Linked DNA regions of Caenorhabditis elegans. The protein of the gene in region 2 interacts with the protein of the main gene of each other region in a pairwise test. Each region holds a gene or a part of one and is shown on either strand. Other genes may lie near its edges.

Region 1 (3,005 bases), on a different chromosome or scaffold from region 2:
ACAGCGAGATCAGATAAAAATTTCCAAATAAAACGTCAGAAGCTTTAGACCTAAAACCGCAAAGTTCAAAACCAAAATCGTTAAGGGGTTTTGACCAAAAGAGAAAAATGACGGTGGAAGAACACGTTGTTATCAACATCATCATCATGTTTTGATAAGAAGCGTGTCTCTTCATTGCGGGGAAACTGGAGATGATGTGAGAGAGAATGGAGAGGTCGCAGACACTGAGAGGATAGAAAAAATGAATTTAAAGTACGATTGAAAGCTGATTGTCGCAAAAATTGAAAAAAAAAAAACTAAAATTTCTGAATTTCCATTTCATATTATTTCGACTGTCTCCGAAAAAAAAAATACAGAAAACCCTATTACTTCTCGACTGCTCCCTTTGCCGGAATGTTTGAAAAAATCCAATTTTCCAGCCACAGAAAAATTGCCGGACTTTTTTTCGAGTTGTTCCGAAAACCTCAGAAAATCGCTTTTTACTGCTAAATCTCCCACTTTTGAGGTGGAAATGCTGATAAATACGAGGAATTCGCCTCACAATGCAGCAGAAGCTGGCAAACATTGCATTACACTAAATAAACGAACACGTTCGTTTTTTCTCCATTTCTTTATTAGGGAGAAGAGATGGCAGAGAGAAAAGTGGAATCGGAAGTTTGTAAACAGTTTAGGTTTGATTTATATGGCTGAAGGCGATGACATGCCGGCTTTTGCTTTGTGGCCGTGGAATGAGGAAACTCGGTCACCGGCCTATGAACCTAATAGGCCATGTTACAGTTATTATCTGACAAAATAGACAAATCGCCTATTTAAAGTGTAGCAGAATTGCAGAATTCGAAAAAAAAACCAACTTCGGTAAGGCTTTTAGATAGTCTTAACAAAAAAATCACATAAACTGAGTCAAAATTCGTCGAACAAACAGAATGAACGTTCCAGTTTTAGTTTTGCAACGAAAAACCATGACTCATAAAATGAAGAATAGTTCCGAATTTGCTGGAGATTTTCGTAGATAGTGAGGAATTGAGATTGAAATCTAATTGAGGAATTAATTCTATATTCGTACCATTAGTTGTTGTAATGAATGAATTAACTCGGAGTGTCCTAAAACTTTGCTATATGAGCCTGAAATTTGGAAGCTCTTTCGCTTGTAAAATACCTTTTTTTAAATGTTTTCTGGAGCACCAAAACTACTGAATACTTAACGCACATCAGGCTTCTGAATAAGTTCCGTGTGGTGTGTATGCTTAAACATCAAAATAACTAAATTTTGTATCATTTAACTAAATTTTTGGGGACGAAAGCAACCATTAGTTTTGGCCAAAATTGTATTGTCAAATTTTTGATGTGTGCGGTAAATTTCGAAAACTACCGAGCTCGCCAAACGGCAAATTCGGCAAACGAGAAGTGCACTGTACTGCAATTAAATATGAGACAATGGCAAAGTACCAAGAGATATATTGGTTTTTAGTAGCCACTATTCTCGATTGACATGTCTAACCTTATCGATCTTCAAACGCCAACAACCTCTTCCAGGACGACTGAGCGTTCTCTCTATAAATACCTACTCCGGTGGCTCATTGTGCTCCGTCGTCTTTCGAATACTAGGCGTTATGCTCAAATATCTTATATTCCTTGCTATATTGATCTCTGTCGTCCACTCTAATGGTTATATGACGATTCGCCTTAAAAGTGCATTTCCCCTGAATGTAACTGTCGAAGTGGCCGAGGAAGTGTATTTTCCCACCAATAAACGTTCATTCAATCTCCAACTTAAGCCCAATAGAGTGGGATTTGTGTCCAATATTCCTGTAAAGTTCGGAAGACCGGGATTAGTGTTGGTGGATTGCAGTCCTGTCGAAAAATTTCAAATCCATCGTGTTACATTGCGTTCGATACGGTGGAATACCCATGTGAGGAGTGTGGCTTCGGACAATATATTCTTGCCATTTACGGGATTCCGCTATGATATCAAGTGTAATAGGTGAGTTTTGAAATTGAAATTGAAATGCTGATTCTTGAAAAATCACAATTTCCAGATATTGGCATGGCCTTCACTGCGACCACTTTTGCAATGACGACTTTGCCCGTACAATTAACAGGCGGTGCACACAAAACGGAACTCTCGGCTGCCTAGAAGGATTCCACGGACCTAATTGCGAACTTCCTGTTCCTGCAGATTCCTGCAAGTGTCAAAACGGGGGAAAGTGTGTCTCAAGCCTCGAAAATACATGGGCTCAGAACGGCTCTCTAATTTGTGAATGTCGTTTGGGACATTTTGAAGGAAAACACTGTGAGAAGAAATCGTTCAACTACTTTCCAAAGATCGAAGCAACTACGTATGCCACGAAGGATTCTCATTTGGCACGCCAGTTTTATAACAACAGTCGGGTGCCGAATGAGTTGGCCACGCTTCCTCGATTGTGAATCCTAATATTGAGCTTAATGAAAATAAAATGATTTTTTTTACTTTTAATTCTTGTATGAATATGAATTTTAAAATGAGTACACGTTTAAATCAGGGCTGTGCGGCAACCGGGATTTTCGGCAACCGGCAATTGCCGAAGTTGACGAACCCAGAAATTTTCGGCAACCGGCAACGTTCGATTGCCGAAATTTTGGCAACTTTTCGGCAACCGGCAACCAAGTTTTAAAGTTTTTTTTGTTAAAATTATATTTTTGAGCGTTTTGGTTAAAAAATAATGGTCGTTTTCTCGTTTACGGCGAAATATTAGCATTTATCAGGCTCTCCGAATGCTTTTTATGAGCTGCAGAATGTTTCACATTGATATCGGCAGTTGCCGAAGTTGCTGAACTCCAAAATTTTCGGCAACCGGCAATTGCCGAAGCTAAAAAATTTCGGCAACCGGCAACTCGGTTGCCGGTTGCCGCACAGCCCTGGTTTAAATGCATAGGACAATCATGTTGGAACCAAAGGTGTTTCTTCGAAAAAACTCAAAACAATTGTAATCGTTCGATGGCAACTGTAATCCAAGAACATTAATATG
Region 2 (4,836 bases):
TTTATCCCACTTTTTCCCAAGAATTGGCAACACACACGAGGCGCCATCGGGTCGTCGCCCAATTCACCGCCCTCTTCACACATACCGAACATCAGACATAAATCGCGCCAAAAAGAAGCGCATCGACAATAGAGAAGCGCGCATGAAACAGAGAGGCTAGGAGGGGCAGATGACCTAGGAGCTATCTATCAGGCACCTTACGCGGTCACTTTTAACGCCGCCAACAAGACAAATGAGCTGAAGAGAAATGGAAAAAGATTGGCCGCGCTTCAATTTGTCCTCGATACAAACGAGTCATGATGAAATATTGAGGTGTTTGGTTGCCGTAACTTTGTTAAATATCTACTAACTACAGATTGATGAAGTTTGGAGCAATACTCATAAATGGTTTAACGGAAAACGATTAGTAAAATTTTTGAAAGTTGGGAATGGTAAGCGCATAAAGTTTAAAGCATAGTTTTCGTAAGCTTTCGAAATATGAGGAAATGCCTGCCTGGCTACCTACAAGGCAGCCTACGTCTGTTTCGCATAAATTACACATGTAGCCACAAACTTCCAATCTTCTAATGTCTTCAATTTTTGTTGAATTTTCAACATCAATCTACAGCAAACTACAGAGTTCAAGCTAACATTTAAAAAATTAGACGGTAGGCCGGCAAGTCAGCGTGAAGCAGACATTTAGACCTGTATACGCGTTGCCTATAGGCCTATTGCTATTATACCTGTGATAGCTTTAACAATGAGTAAGTAAATTCTTATTTTTTAATCTTCGAATATTTCGTTTAGTCTTAAAAATGATACAATTCCTAGTTTCTTAACTTCCATTGAATTTTCAAATCCACCTATTCACTTTCAAATTATTATTCACCCCCAACTTTGTCAGTTGTTTGCCACAATTCCACCAGGCATGTGCTTATGATGGATGGTGTGGTCAAAAAGATGACCGACAAAAGGGCGCGCGCAGCTGACCCTAGTTTTGGAATTTTGGGCCAAAAAAACATTTCATTCGCAACACCGCCACCATGGAGGGCTAAAAAAAATGAGTGATGGGTGTTTAGGTCCCTATGGGAATTGGGCAAAAAAGTGACCACTACTGGCTCATTGGTTTTGCAGGAAAATGAGATGCAATGGGAAGTGTTGTGTATAAGTTATTCAGCTCGAAATTACATTATCTTACCTTTACAGACACAGGTCTCCATCCGATAATCTTTGTCAAAAACACATTTCTCATCGGCTCCACATTTTGAAACATCACACTGTTGTTCACAATATTCACCACCAAATCCTTCATCGCATCTGAAACATTGGGAAGGGTTAGGGTTAAAGATTAAAGACGTCGTGCAGCCGAAAGGCACCGTAATCCTATTGTTTTATGGTTTTATGACAACTGATGGTAGGCTCACTCGACAGTATGTTTTGCCGACAAAACTGGGAACACGGCTGTAAAATTGTGAGGTGGCAACTGAGTCCTCATTTGTGATAAGATAAGCAATTTTGAAGACTATTCTTTTTCTCATTCAAAGTCTCAAAATGCCGAGTAAAAGTGGCATTCGTTGCAGTTTTCCGAAGTTGCCAATTGAAAGTAAAGCAATTTTCAGAAAGTGCAAACATTTTTCTATACTTCTATTTAAATTTTCGGGAAAAACTTTGACAGATAATACATCTGATAGGGAGTTCAAAACCAGCTACAGTAATCTTACAGTAACCCCCCATTGGTCATTTCTTTTGGGAACTTGGTCATAAATCCTACCCCATTCTTTTTTGTTTGATAAGAAAAATGTGGAAGACCAGTATTTTTTTGTCATTAAGAAGAATTCTCCCCTCAATTTCCCGTATTTTTCGGTTTTCCCATGGCAATAAACTACCGATTTGGGTGATTTTTTGGCGGCGGTGCGAGACCAGGAGGGGGAAAAGCTGCTTCTCTTTCGCATTTTAATGAGAATCTCAGCGGGTTAATTGCCTGGTTTTTCTTCGACTTTGAGACGAGAATTGGCAGGAAAAAAATGGCTGAGAATTGCTTTTCTGAAGTTGATTTATCCAAAACCCGACTTTTTCCAACTTTCCCATAACACCCTGAAAGTATTGTTTTTACAATATTTTCCCTCACTTTTTCCCAAAAAAATTGAAAGTTTTTTCTACAGCGAGGGACGACGCAGGTGTCTCCTCTGTGGGGTTTTTTCTCTCATTACTCGCTCATTTCTCTTGTTGCGCAAGTTTCGTAAATGGTGGGAACCCGTGCGAACAATGTCCTCCTATTAATTAACATCAACTATAAATTAATGGTGTGTTGTTCAAGTGACACGTGTCTCTACTTGAACCATATCACCTATCTTATCAGGAGCTAGCTGCTCAACGGAGAGCACATGCCGCTATAAATCAAGACGGATTACGTAATTATTGTTTGAAAAGGGCATGGATTATGGAAGAATAGTCTACTGGTACAAACAATGTTTTGTTATAATTTACAGTACTTCTTTTACTAGTATTGCACCTAGCTACTTAACTTTGTAAAGTTATAACTCGGTTAATTTCAAAGATATAAAAAGAATTGCCGTATTTCCTCTAATAGTCTTGAATAAAAGAATAATAGAGGAAATACGGTAACTACAAAACGGTAGCAAGAGAAATAACAAAAATTTGGTCAGTTGACAATTTTGTAAAGGAAATCCCATAATTCCTAGGAATATTCCTTACCCCCAATTTATTGCGTATTTTTAAGATTAGTTTTCAAAATGTGTAGATTTGTATTATTTATTTTACGTTGAATTAAAATTTGAAAAAATGTTTAAGTATTGTTAAGCAAAATCTTCACATACCTGCACCAATAAGAAGTTTGAGTTCCATTGACAGGTCCAGCATGGCAGTGACCATTTCTTCCACATATTAAGCCAAGACATGAGCCAATATGAAGCGATTTTGATAACGAGATAAGAAGAAATAAAAAACAAATCGTAGGGATCCGCATTTTTTGAAATTGAGCAAAGTCTGTTGAGCAATAGGGCGGACAGAGACAGGAAATTAGCTTTTAGATATGGATCATGTAGGTTCTGAAAATGGTTTTGAATTATTTAATTTAGTGAATTCGTTGTTTGAAAGTTGACGACAGTAAAACGGTATAGAAATGCAAAGGATCGGACCGTACTAATATTGCACCCCTGTTATTTAGTGTTGACAGCTTATATCTCAGTTGTCATTTGTTCTAAATAATAATTGTCAGCTGACAAAATATTTTTTCCATTGTGCAGAAAATCAGTTTTTGATATCATCAAAATGAGCGGAGATATTACCTTTCAAAGTAAAGTAGTGAGTTGCAATACTAAAAGAGGAATACAGTCATCGTCAACTAACAAACAAGGGCAAAATAGAAGGAAACAGGATCAATTCTTAAAACTATAATACTTGGCTCGAAACATTTTAAATATTTCGTGAGAGCTGTAGGAATATATTATTACCAATAAACGAAACCTAATAAAACCCAAACCTGGTAGCTTTTGCATTATCATTAATTAAGGATAAATAAATGCCAATCAAAAAATGGGTGGCTATTGTTATGTCTTCACCCAGTAAAAAGGACGAGAGAGGGCGAAGGGGTGGGGGTAGGATGAACACAAAAGAGAGAGAGACAGATGGCTCCGCCCAACTTGTTGCGGTCGCGGTGCGGCCACCAAGTAGACTTTTTTTTCATCGAGAAAGAAAAGGAGGAGAAGATGATTTTAAAATGAAACGACGATGTCAGATGGTTGGATGAAGTAGAAGTAGGAGGAGGTGGAAGAGAAGAGAGTGGGAACGGAAGGAAGAATGATCAAGATGAGGAAAACGAACTGCTGGGAACGTATGGTGATTTGCGGCTTTTGGGTCTTTGTGTGTCAGTTTTAGAGTTTTATTTCTGTTTATTTCTGTTTATTTCTGTTTATTCGGATACTTTATAGTTTTTAGTTTTATACATCAATACTTGCAAAAAATTTCTAAGCTTTGTTCAAAAAGTAATATCTTGGTTTTATCCATTTAGGAACAACTGTAAGATTGTATAAATGATTTTTAGCCATTTTATAGGCGGAAGAGATTTTTCATAGCTTTTCCTGTTCAAAAGCTGAAAGAGCTTGAAAATACTAAACACATCGAGTAAGAATTAGAAAAAAAAACAAATCAAAATATTGAACACGCTTTTTCCAAGGTGTTTTCTAATCTCTCTATTTGAATTACCTCCAAAACGAGAACTGCATGGCCAATCAGCAATTCGCTCTGCCCATTCTTCAACCAATCAGATTAAGTATGGAAATTCCGAAGTCGCTAATTGGTTCAAAAGTGGGCGTTTGTTTTTGGCGGGAATTCAAACAGATTTGATCATTTTTTGATTATTTTTTTAACTGTTTCACACAATTAAATATAACCTTATTCTCGACAATTAATTGCTATCTGAACCAAATTTGTTGCAAAAATTCACGCATAGTTGTTGCTACCAATTAACTACTATTTTCCCAAAACACGGAAATGATGGATGAGCCAACAGGAGCACAGGTGTCTGTTACTGTGGTGTCATATACATGTGACGTGACAATCAACCGGCAACTTTGAACTGTCGTCGACGGATTAGTCTCAAGACCTCTTGACTTGATTTATTGGCATGGGAACCCGCCAAGGAAAGGTTTCAAAAATAACAATATTGTTAATAAATGAGTGTAACATTTAAGAAAACATTTAAAAATGGCATTAACAATAGCTCTATAAAAACCTGGTTTTTTAGAAGGCCGTTATTAATTATCAGCTTTGGTGGTATTTTGTTTTAAAATAGTCAAATCTTAAAATTACCACAAAAAAGATAATAGGAAATCTTAT
Region 3 (7,817 bases), 4.4 Mb from region 2:
TTTTTTGTTTTGATATTTTTTTAGCAATGAATTCTAGATTTTTTTCCAAAAAAAAAACAAATAAAAACTCACCCAATGCTGAATAAAAGTTCTATCGAATAAAGCTAAATAAAGTGTCCAAGCGGCAATTACAACGGCAATATATATTAATCCAGAACGAAATCGATCTCTTAACTGACTGAAACTACACTTCCAATATTGAGCTTCTAGTGTTGCAGATCGAAATTGAGGATTCCACCATCTAGCAGATGCTCTCTCAAATAATGGAACACGTCTTGGGGAACTACTGTGTGCACGAACTGATGGTCCACATGAACCACCGAGAGCCGGTGTTCGTTCACCGACATCGTCGTCCATGAATCCAGAAGACAAGAAGAATCTTCAGAATAGAAGACGTTGAAAAATGAAAAGGAAGAAGATGAGGCAAGTAGAGGAGAGCGAGTAGTAGTTGTTCCCCCTCCTTCGCCTCCTACTCCCCCCAACTGCTTACTCTTTTTCTCTCGTTCACTCTCTTCCAATCTCTCACTTACTTTTGAAAGCCTTTTCAGAGAAAAAGAGAGTAAAAGAAAGTGCGCAGAGAGCTTTGGAATGAGAGAGGCGCAGAGTTTGAAACGAAAAGCTGCGCGCTCGACTGGCCCCAGGGTGGGGCGGGTCCAAGAGTGTGGAAGAGAGAGAGAGAGGATGGAGAATAGACATTGAGCCTCAATCTTTCGATTATTGTGCTCATGGATTCGGGGGATCCCATGGGATTTGATAAGTATGTCGGAAACAGCAAATGAATGAATAATTAGCGATGGAAATTAGGACTTCAACTAATGAAAAATGGTCAGCAAGTGAATATCTTGGGGGTTTTTCGGATATGATGATCAGCAGGTTCAGGTTATCAAAGTAATGCAGTTTAAGTGAACCTTCACTGTAGGCACTTACCCCCTAGGCATCTGGTAGGGCGTATATCTAGAATTGAAACACTGATTCAAGCGAAACTTTTTCAACTACCGTACTCGGGAGTACTGTAGTACCTCAATCTTTCTCGCCAAATTTCTCCTGAAATTACAGAACTTATGAATTGATTTTTCCTCGAAAAAATCTACGTATATATTTGAAATCGGGAAATAAGGAAAAAAAACTTTTAAAAAGCTTCTATCATACTCGCTGGTACGGTATTTGATAAAGTTTTTCTTCGTGGTAAGATTTTTGTTGATGAAAGAATGAGTCTGTGAAGAATAAACCTTCAAAATTGAACATGGTAGTTGAATGAAAATTAATCTTTTATGCCTAAATAATTTCACATAGCTATATAGCTATTACATTTTTCGCAACAATTCTGAATACCCCGGTTATCGTATTTCGTCGTCTTGGATGCTTGCTAAATGAACCAATTTGTTTACCTATCACGCAATAAAGATGAATCGAAATCACTTTTCGCAATATCGCTTTAAAATGAAACATATAATTCCTAAAATACGCGAAACTCGGGAAAGCGATATTTTTTAAACGACCGCGTTTTTCTATCTCTACCCGCCTCTTGCAATCCCACACTCTCTCGCCTAGCATCACAATGGGGCGCAGTTGCATAAATCGCTTCGCGTTCAAATTCAGAAAATCGTCTCATTTTTATTTTTGTCCTCGACCCGAATGGCCGGTTTCCTTCTTTCTCCGTTTTCTTTATTGATTAATTTTCGCTCGTTTGGCCTAAAAACCGCGTAAAATCCGTCATTTTTCACCTATCTGGCTAATTTTTTTTGCACAAAATAAGATTTTTCAGTTTTCTTTCACTTTTAAACCTTTTCCGCACTGTGAGCTGTTTGCAATTTTCTTAATTTTGCTCTTTGTGCTTTTCGAAATTTTTGTATTATGAAATTTCGTTCTTCCCAAGTGAAATTAACTGAATTTGTTGCAGGTAATGGATTTTATCGATAATCAAGCCGAAGAATCAGATGCCTCCTCGGGCCATTCTGATGATGAAGAACCACAGTCGAAAAAGATGAAAATGGCAAAGGAAAAATCAAAAAGAAAGAAGAAAATGGTTGCCAGGTAATTATAATTCCGGGGTATTTCTATTTTCATTTGTTCATTTTTAGTTCTGACGAAGATGAAGACGACGATGACGATGAAGAGGAAAACCGTAAAGAAATGCAGGGATTCATTGCAGATGATGACGATGAAGAAGAGGACGCAAAATCGGAGAAGTCAGAAAAATCTCGGCACTCGGGAGAAGATGAGCTCGACGATGAAGATCTTGATTTGATCAATGAGAATTATGATATTCGAGAGACGAAAAAACAAAATCGAGTTCAATTGGGTGATTCCAGTGATGAAGATGAGCCGATACGAGTGAGTAATTTCGATTTTTTTCAATTGCCACTAAAATTCATAATAATAATAATAATCAAATTCGGAATTTCAGAGACCCAACCACGAAGATGATGATTTGCTTTCCGAACGAGGAAGTGACGATGGAGACAGGCGAAAAGATCGTGGTCGTGGAGATCGCGGTGGTTACGGATCAGAGTCTGAAAGAAGTGAGGATGACTTTATTGAGGACGATGGAGATGCGCCACGAAGACATCGGAAACGTCATCGTGGAGACGAAAATCTCCCAGAAGGCGCTGAAGATGACGCCCGTGATGTATTCGGAGTGGAAGACTTCAATTTGGACGAGTTTTACGACGATGATGATGGCGAGGATGGTCTAGAAGACGAAGAGGAGGAAATAATAGAAGATGATGGTGAAGGAGGAGAGATAAAGGTTGGAATTTTTGAGAAAAGCTTTGCATTATTGAAATAGGAATGGTTCAGATACGCAGAAAGAAGGATACTACAAAGAAGTCAACACTTCTCGAATCCATCGAACCAAGTGAAATTGATCGTGGATTCTTGTTACCTGGGGATAAGAAAATCGCGAAAGAAGATTTACCAGAGAGGTTCCAACTCAGAAGAACACCAGTTACAGAAGCGGATGATGATGAACTGGAATCTGAAGCTCTATGGATTATTAAATATGCCTTCGAAGAAGGGACAGTGACAAATCAAGCTGACCTGGATCAAGACGATAAACTTGATTGTATAATGAATCTGGATCCTTCTGTCTATGAAGATAGAAAGAAAGCTGTTATAAAATCCATCAAGAAAGTTCTCCAATTCATTCGAGTTCGTTCTAATTCGTTCGAACCTACGTTTATTGGATTTTATCGTAAAGAAGATATTGACAATCTTCTGACAATGAATAATCTATGGAGAGTATACGATTTTGACGAAAAATGGTGTCATTTGTCAGAGAAGAAAAATAAAATTTACGATTTAATGCGTCGGATGAGAGAGTATCAGGAACTCAGTGACGATTTGACCGCAAAAAGACGACCGATTTCGGATGCAGATTTGATGGAGTAAGTTTTAAAATTTAAAATTTAGAATTTAAATTATTTTTCAGCACAAAATACGCAGAAACTCTTGAACAGCTTACCGACATACATGCAAATTTCCAATTGTTGTACGGTGCTCTTCTCGACGATATGATTAGATGGGAAAAAGGACGTTTAACCGGTGAAGAAGAGGAACAAGAGTATCGAGTCAAGTTCAAGTCAAGCATTCGTAATGATAAGTATCAAATGTGTGTGGAAAACGGAATCGGAGAGCTTGCTGGACGGTTTGGATTGACTGCAAAACAGTTTTCTGAAAATTTGAACTGGAAAAAACACGACATTGAGCAAGATCCGATGTTACCATTGGAAGCAGCAGAAGAGTATGTTTGTCCTGCGTTCAGTGACAGTGATATGGTTCTGAATGGTGCGAAATTCATGCTTGCCAAGGAGATCAGTCGACAACCACAAGTCAGGCATAGTGTTCGGCAAGAATTCCGCCAGTCTGCACATTTTTGGATCAAGCCAACGAAGAAAGGACGTGATACAATTGATCAAACTCATCCCCTCTATGACAAACGGTATATCAAGGTGAGAATTATTTGAAATAAATGTCTAGGATTTTAATAAATATATATTTTTAGAGTAAACCAGTTCGAAGTCTCACCGCTGAAGAGTTCCTCTTCTATCACAAAGCCAAAGAGGATGGTCTTGTTGATGTGCTCATCATGTATGAATCTGAAGAAGATCAGGATTCAAATAACTACCTCGTTAACAAGTATCTAAGTGATTCCATTTTCCAAAAAGACGAATACACGGAAAATGTTGAACAATGGAATTCAGTGAGAGATGAGTGTGTGAATATGGCTATAACTGAAATGCTTGTACCCTACATGAGGGATGAGTTGTATAATACGATTCTTGAAGAAGCAAAGACTGCAGTAGCAAAGAAATGTAGAAAGGAGTTTGCATCTCGAATTTCTAGATCAGGATATCTGGTATTAATTTGATTTAATAACTATGTAATTGTTTTGTTTTATTTCAGCCGGATTTCGATAATAACGATGACGATGATGATGGTATGGATCAACATGGAGCTCGTCGAATCATGGCAGTGTGCTATCCAACAGAGCGAGACGAAGCTTCATTTGGTGTAATGGTTGATGAAAATGGTGCAATTGTTGATTATCTTCGAATGGTTCATTTCACGAAACGAACGTTTGGCGGTGGAAACAATGGACTAAGGAAGGCCGAGTCAATGGATTTGTTTAAGAAGTTTGTACAGAGACGAAAACCTCATGCTATTGGATTGAATATTGAGGATATGGAGTGTACTCGATTGAAGGTTTGCACTAGTTTTGAACATTTGATACTTAAAAACTGCAATTTTCAGAGAGACCTCGAGGAAGCTGTGGCAGATCTTTTCTCGCAGAACTTGATCTACAAACCAATTCCAGTATTTTTGATGGACAACGAAGCCGCAAAAGTCTACATGAGATCGAATGTTTCGTTGGCGGAGAATCCAGATCATCCACCGACGCTCCGACAAGCTTTATCCCTAGCTCGTCTTCTTTTGGATCCCATCCCAGAGTATGCTCATTTGTGGAATATTGATGAAGATATTTTCTGTCTCTCTCTGCATCCGCTTCAACGGGATATCGATCAAGAGCAATTGGCTTTGGTTCTCAGTCATGAATTGGTGAACAAGGTCAACGAAGAAGGTGTTGATATCAATAAATGTGCAGAATTCCCTCACTACACTAACATGCTCCAGTTCACATGCGGATTGGGTCCACGAAAAGCCACTGATCTTCTGAAAAGCATAAAAGCTAACGATAATTTGATAGAGAGTAGATCGAAACTTGTGGTTGGATGCAAACTGGGACCAAAAGTATTTATGAACTGTGCTGGATTCATCAAAATTGACACTATCAAGGTATCGGAGAAGACTGACGCTTATGTTGAAGTTCTTGACGGTTCGAGAGTACATCCAGAGACCTATGAATGGGCTAGAAAGATGGCTGTGGATGCGTTGGAGGTTGATGATTCTGCTGATCCAACTGCGGCTCTTCAAGAAATCATGGAATCTCCTGATCGTTTGAGAGATCTCGATTTGGACGCGTTTGCCGATGAATTGAGTCGACAAGGATTCGGAGAGAAAAAGTCGACGTTGTATGACATCTCAAGCGAGTTGAGTGCGAGATATAAAGATCTTCGGCAACCATTCCAAGAACCTACCGGAGAGCTTTTGTATGATCTTTTGGCTCGTTCAGGAAAAGAAATTAGAGTATGTTACTTGTAATAATTCTGTCGATTTTATTTTTATTTTTGCAGGAAGGAGCTAAAGTGTTGGGAACAGTTCAATCTGTGCAGTACCGTAAAGTTGACAAAGATGCAGCAGACAGCATGTTACCTGATGTTGGAGAAGATGGTCTTTTCACTTGTCCATGTTGTAAATCGTTCACATCTTCGGCTCCTGGTGGAATTCAAGAACATATGCTCGGTGACGTAAGTTTTTCTCAACTAATACTATTCGTTAACCAATGTTAAATTATTTCAGTCTCGTCAAGGTGGATGTCCTGGAACACCAGTCGGAATTCGAGTCAGATTTGACAATGGAATGACTGGATTCTGTCCGAACAAGAACATCTCATCAAGTCACGTAGACAATCCATTAACCCGAGTCAAGATAAATCAGCCATATTACTTCAAAGTTCTCAAGTTGGACAAGGAGAGATTCTCACTATTCCTAAGTTGTAAGAGTTCGGATCTGAAAGAAGATGATTTATCTCAACGTGATCAGTACTGGGATGAGCATCAATACCAAGCTGATTTGGAACTGATGAAGAGTGAATCGAAAAAGAAGACAGAAGCAAATACACGTGTGAAGCGAGTAATTGCGCATCCAAATTTCCATAATGTATCCTACGAAGCTGCTACGAAAATGTTGGATGAAATGGATTGGTCTGAGTGTATTATTCGTCCATCGGCTAATAAAGATTCTGGTCTTTCTGTGACATGGAAGATTTGTGACCGCGTCTATCACAATTTCTTTGTCAAAGAATCCGCAAAGGATCAAGTTTTCTCCATTGGTCGGCAACTCTCAGTCGGCGGAGAAGATTTCGAGGATCTTGATGAGTTGATTGCTCGATTCGTTCAACCGATGATACAGATCTCTCACGAGATAACAACTCACAAGTACTTCTTCCCAAATGGAACATGCGAAGAAACAGAAGCAGTCGAGCAATTTGTACGAGAGAAGAAACGAGAGCTGGGACGATCTCCGTACGTATTCAGTGCATCCTACAGACAGCCATGCCAATTCTGTATTTCTTATATGTTCGATAATACAGAACGGATTCGACATGAATATTTCAAAAGTGAGTTTCGAAAAGAGATACGAACAAAGTTTTCAACTATTTTTGTTTACAGTTGTCCCACATGGAGTCCGATTCCGACATCAAAACTTTGATACGCTAGATCGAATGATGGCTTGGTTCAAACGCCATTTCCACGAGCCTCCCATCGAGTTAAGGCGATCTGCGATCCCGGCTCCACAGTATCGAGTTGGTGCTCCTCCAGCAGCTCCATACTATCCTCCTCAATTCGTCGGCTATCACTGAAAACCCTGATCTTATTCTCTTTATTACCCACACCTTATCAGACACATTCAATCCTGTTTCCTTTGTTCCAGTCTATCAACGATGATCTAATTTTAATTTATAGAATACAACATCCATCTGTCTTAATCCCACATAATTTGTTTTGATTTCGGTAATCCGTTCATCCTCGATTTTTACTTTTCAAACATTTTTATATATCTATCAAAATATTTATTCAAGCAGTCATACTGTTCATGAGCTCTTTCTGTATTCAAGTACCATTTTTGTTGTTTACTCAATAAATTTCGTAATCAGAATCACTGCTAAATCATCACGAAAAAACGTAGAATGCGTTGATCACAATTGATATTGGAATAAGAATTGCAAATTCAGTTTTAGAAGAAAAAAAAGTATTCTAGATTCTACTCATATGAATGATTCATCACTAAAAAAGGCACTGTCCCAAAACTCGATCTCATCCGCGCCAAGGTAGTAAGGTTTTTGTTTCTGTCGTATCTATTTAACCTAAACGTAAATTAAAAAATATCTGTCTTTTTTTCTAGGCGTCCTCAAAAACTTGGAAGTGTGCAGAGTATTGTAAGAAATGAATCTGACAAAAGTAAGTTTCAAATCAAATTTCCCAATTAAATCAATTAATTTACTTTTTGAGATGTTCCTTCTCCTTTCGAAGAGATCACACTGAGCGACGATGATGAAGAAGCACCGGCTAAGAAACCTGTAAAATGTGCGACGTGTGCACGAGATATGACTCTTTGGATGAATTCCAGAAGGTTTGAAATATTATTTGTGTTTCTTCTCACTGTTCAAATTTTAGAGATATTCATGTAAAAGTTTG
Region 4 (3,317 bases), on a different chromosome or scaffold from region 2:
TTCTCCTATGTACACCGTGATGACAGAAAGGAGAACAAGAGTGTCAAGATAGAAATGAAAAAAAAATCAAAAGCTTATCTAGAATCAAATTCAAAAGATGTCACTCAAAATGTTCAAAGTTGTTCCAAATTTAGACGCAACCTCAACCATTAAAAGTCAGGAGATACGGAAGGTGTTGGAGGTCGTACACAATCCATCACACGAAAAGAGAAACAAGACGTTGTTTCTAGAAGTGCCTTGATGAATGAATGACAGGGAAGGAGCAAAGGGCATGTTTTTTAGGGTAACAGGGGAAAAATACAGTTTTTCTGTGTTTCGAATTCTAACTTGGAGAAAACATTTGTCTCTGGTCTCATGTCTCAAGTTGGGCAGCTAATTCCGGACAGTAAAAACCTGAATCAAAGAACTGTTTCTTGCCAAGGAAGTTGTTACGGTATTATTGAATAGGATATGGAAATGAAAAAGAAAGACAGTTGCACGGATGTTTGCTTAATTGAAAGTAGTGGTTTGGTAAACACGGTGTTACAAAATAAAGCTTTGAGTAAAGAACATCTGACAGTAATCGTCATCTATAACTCTTTTGAAATGACGTTATGCTAGAAGCCACACATAGTTCAACTACGAAATAATTCTTCGTCGAATGATTAACTCATTCAATTCCCAAACTTCATTGTTCCTAGCTTATCATAACGTACTTACACTGAAAAAGCCTTGACCGCAAGATTGTTTTGGTCAGTCGCTAAAACAAAAACCATCAAAAAGTAAAAAAAAAGGTTTAAGAAACGTGACGACTATAACTTTTTTGTGTAGCAGTAGTCTGTGTTCCGCATGATGAAGTAATGAAATGGTGAAGTGAAGAATAAAGATTGCGTACAACGAGGGAAACACTAAAAATAGTTTATTTCTAAAGCAGTGATAACACGTAAAGAACGGGTGCATTATTTCTGTCTCCCATATCCCTTTTTAGACGTCCATCACGAGTCGTCGTCGAGTTTACGCGCACCACGGAGATGTTTGTGTCCGACGCTGTGCAGGGTACATGATAACGGCGTAGTAGCTGAAGATCGAAACACATCGACGACCTCGACGTACCCCCATCGGATGTCTTATACATCTTTCCTCACATCATCATCATCATCATTATCATTTTTCGACCACTATCTTCTCATCTTCAGAAAACTGTGTGCGACACTGGCTTCTCCATCACTCTAACCACAGGGCGATCATTAGAGATCCCATCCATCATCCGCCGAAAACCACGAAACCCTCTACACCGGTGCTGCTATTTCTCAATTCCGTTAGTCGCCGATACTTCAATCCTTCTTTCCCTCCTTCGGCCCTGATGATATTTTTAGAACAATCAGTTTATTCGGCGTCCTTCTCCCCACCGCGAGGCAATCTTCAAAGTTCCTAGGGGGCGGGACGCGCGCCCCGCGCCGCTTCCGACGACTCTCACAGACAAGGAAGGGCGGTATTGTGGGGCGGAGTTCACGCGAACGCATAAAAGGCGCCGATTTCAGATAGGCAGTACGCAGTTTCGACTTGCGAGATCAAGCAATTGAATCTCAAAAAAACACCGTTTCCAAAAATGAACTTTATTACCGTCGCCGCTCTCGCTATCGTTATGGTCTTGGCACAAGGTGAGCACATTTACAAAACTATAGAGAACATTCGATAACTTTCAAAGATATTAGACAATTACATCATTCTTTGTATTTTCAGCCAACCCTGCCCGTGTTCGTCGCAATGAGGAGATGTCCGAACGTTATTGCATCAAGCATCTTGACCACTACAACAAATACTGTGGAGACAACGCTGGACCAATTGACCGTGCTCTCTTTGGAAAGGTTGCCAAGTTCTGCCCAGCCTACGAAAAGCACTGTGCCGTTGGAAAGGCCGGACTCGTCGAGCTTCCAGACCTCGGCTCACCACTCGTTATGCCACCAGTCCTTCCAAGAGGATCCGACTTTGCCAGCCTCGATTTGCCAATCGCCGATGAGCGCAAGCCAGCCCACATCCACTCCTCAAGAACCGCTCCACAGACCACCCGTCTCACCGCCGCCATCGTAGCCACCTGCACTCCAGAATGCACCGCCGCTCACTGCACCGACGAGTGCAAGTGCGCCCACACTCATCCAAAGGTCCATCAAATGTGCAACCCACCATCTTCCGCTGCCATGGCCGAGACTTGCCAACGTTGGTACTCCAAGTGCACCATGTTCACTCCAGTGCAGTATTAAGCGTTGTTGTTAATATTGTAAATAGCAAAGCCGTTCCTCTATAGGGGGCCTTTAAGACATGCAATCGTTTTTGCCTAGGTGGGACCTACCTACTTTTAACATTTGTTTTTTTTCTTTTCTCACTCCTCCCCCAAATTTCCCTCTAATTGTTTTCTATGAGCTCGCACCCTAGTGCAATTATTTAATTTTTTATTTTTTTTTCTCTTTTTGGCCCCTCCTACCGATTCGCTAAGCTATTTAAGATCTCGATATCTTGAATCGTGTACATTTTTCGAAAGCTTATTAAAAAATAGCTAAAATAGCTAGATAACTGGTTAATCAGTTATCGCAGCGAATTGGATGGAAAGTATCGCTGGATAACTGATTAATTTCGTCCATACCTCCGCTTATGTGCTCTTTTGTGCTTCAATCCTGAATTTACCTGATCCGTAAATGATTTGTCTCAGTACTGTGTACCCTCCCCTGAAAAACGTTTGGCCCAGTGCTTGATTTTCTGATTAAGGAATTCAGTTGATAACGTTTAATAAAGACGACTCTTCTCTTTCATATCTTCTTGTTCTTTTCATTGACAATGCAAAAATAGTTAAACATGGTTTAAAACAGATACAGTAACAATCTTCTAAAGAAGGAAAAAAGAAGAAAGCAATACATCTTTGTCTTCTCCGAAAATAGACTATCTGAGAGTGTCGTACGATCAAACGCTTAACAAAAATCGTCTTTCGACGTCGCGTCTTCTTCTCCGTTCTTCCTCTTCCTTCTTCTCCTGTCACCACCATCGCCGTCTACACCGTGGGCTTCTGATGTATGATTACGATAGAACGAGATTCGGTGATGAAGTTTCTTTTGATAAATGGCTCGCTCTTTGAAGACAGTGTCAGAGAGAAGTATTATCATTGTCGTATCTTCTTCTTTTTCTCCTCAAACAACATGTTCTCCTTTCGAATATGTCAACAACTTCACAGCACAAACAATGACTTTTTGCAGGGAAACAAGGTGTGGCGGTGTGGTATGGGTTCTAACTTTTGAAAGTTGGTCTTTATTGTGTTGTGATTACTAGAATACTACAATAACAAGCTA

The links.
Region 1: the proteins of lin-12 (region 2) and dsl-1 interact in a two-hybrid assay, tested with the Caenorhabditis elegans proteins (one study listed by BioGRID).
Region 3: the proteins of lin-12 (region 2) and emb-5 interact in a two-hybrid assay, tested with the Caenorhabditis elegans proteins (one study listed by BioGRID).
Region 4: the proteins of lin-12 (region 2) and osm-11 interact in a two-hybrid assay, tested with the Caenorhabditis elegans proteins (one study listed by BioGRID).

What each region holds. Positions count from the first base shown.
Region 1 is NC_003282.8:1,206,674-1,209,678, reverse strand, and holds dsl-1 (Delta-like protein dsl-1), read left to right. Parts: upstream 1-1,598; 5' UTR 1,599-1,610; coding exon 1,611-1,981; intron 1,982-2,036; coding exon 2,037-2,424; 3' UTR 2,425-2,461; downstream 2,462-3,005. UniProt on the Caenorhabditis elegans protein: Probable secreted Notch ligand involved in the mediation of Notch signaling. Involved in the lin-12/Notch pathway-mediated signaling of cell fate in vulval precursor cells (VPCs), acting redundantly with lag-2, apx-1 and osm-11.
Region 2 is NC_003281.10:9,068,424-9,073,259, forward strand, and holds the start of lin-12 (lin-12/Notch intracellular domain), read right to left. Parts: upstream 3,050-4,836; 5' UTR 2,966-3,049; coding exon 2,817-2,965; intron 1,297-2,816; coding exon 1,178-1,296; intron 1-1,177. UniProt on the Caenorhabditis elegans protein: Essential signaling protein which has a major role in many developmental processes; involved in cell fate decisions that require cell-cell interactions. Probable membrane-bound receptor for putative ligands lag-2, apx-1, dsl-1 and osm-11.
Region 3 is NC_003281.10:4,714,752-4,722,568, reverse strand, and holds emb-5 (Suppressor of Ty 6 homolog), read left to right. Parts: upstream 1-1,898; 5' UTR 1,899-1,903; coding exon 1,904-2,034; intron 2,035-2,081; coding exon 2,082-2,334; intron 2,335-2,407; coding exon 2,408-2,749; intron 2,750-2,799; coding exon 2,800-3,386; intron 3,387-3,430; coding exon 3,431-3,950; intron 3,951-4,003; coding exon 4,004-4,357; intron 4,358-4,404; coding exon 4,405-4,704; intron 4,705-4,752; coding exon 4,753-5,646; intron 5,647-5,693; coding exon 5,694-5,867; intron 5,868-5,919; coding exon 5,920-6,739; intron 6,740-6,791; coding exon 6,792-6,982; 3' UTR 6,983-7,276; downstream 7,277-7,817. Other genes in the region: acy-1 (adenylate cyclase), read right to left, coding at 73-357; him-18 (SAP domain-containing protein), read left to right, coding at 7,392-7,450, 7,525-7,580, 7,632-7,752, 7,797-7,817. UniProt on the Caenorhabditis elegans protein: Histone H3-H4 chaperone that plays a role in maintenance of chromatin structure during RNA polymerase II transcription elongation.
Region 4 is NC_003284.9:17,419,679-17,422,995, reverse strand, and holds osm-11 (Notch ligand osm-11), read left to right. Parts: upstream 1-1,527; 5' UTR 1,528-1,588; coding exon 1,589-1,640; intron 1,641-1,722; coding exon 1,723-2,240; 3' UTR 2,241-2,785; downstream 2,786-3,317. UniProt on the Caenorhabditis elegans protein: Probable secreted lin-12/Notch ligand or co-ligand involved in the mediation of Notch signaling. Involved in the lin-12/Notch pathway signaling of cell fate in vulval precursor cells (VPCs), acting redundantly with dsl-1 and lag-2.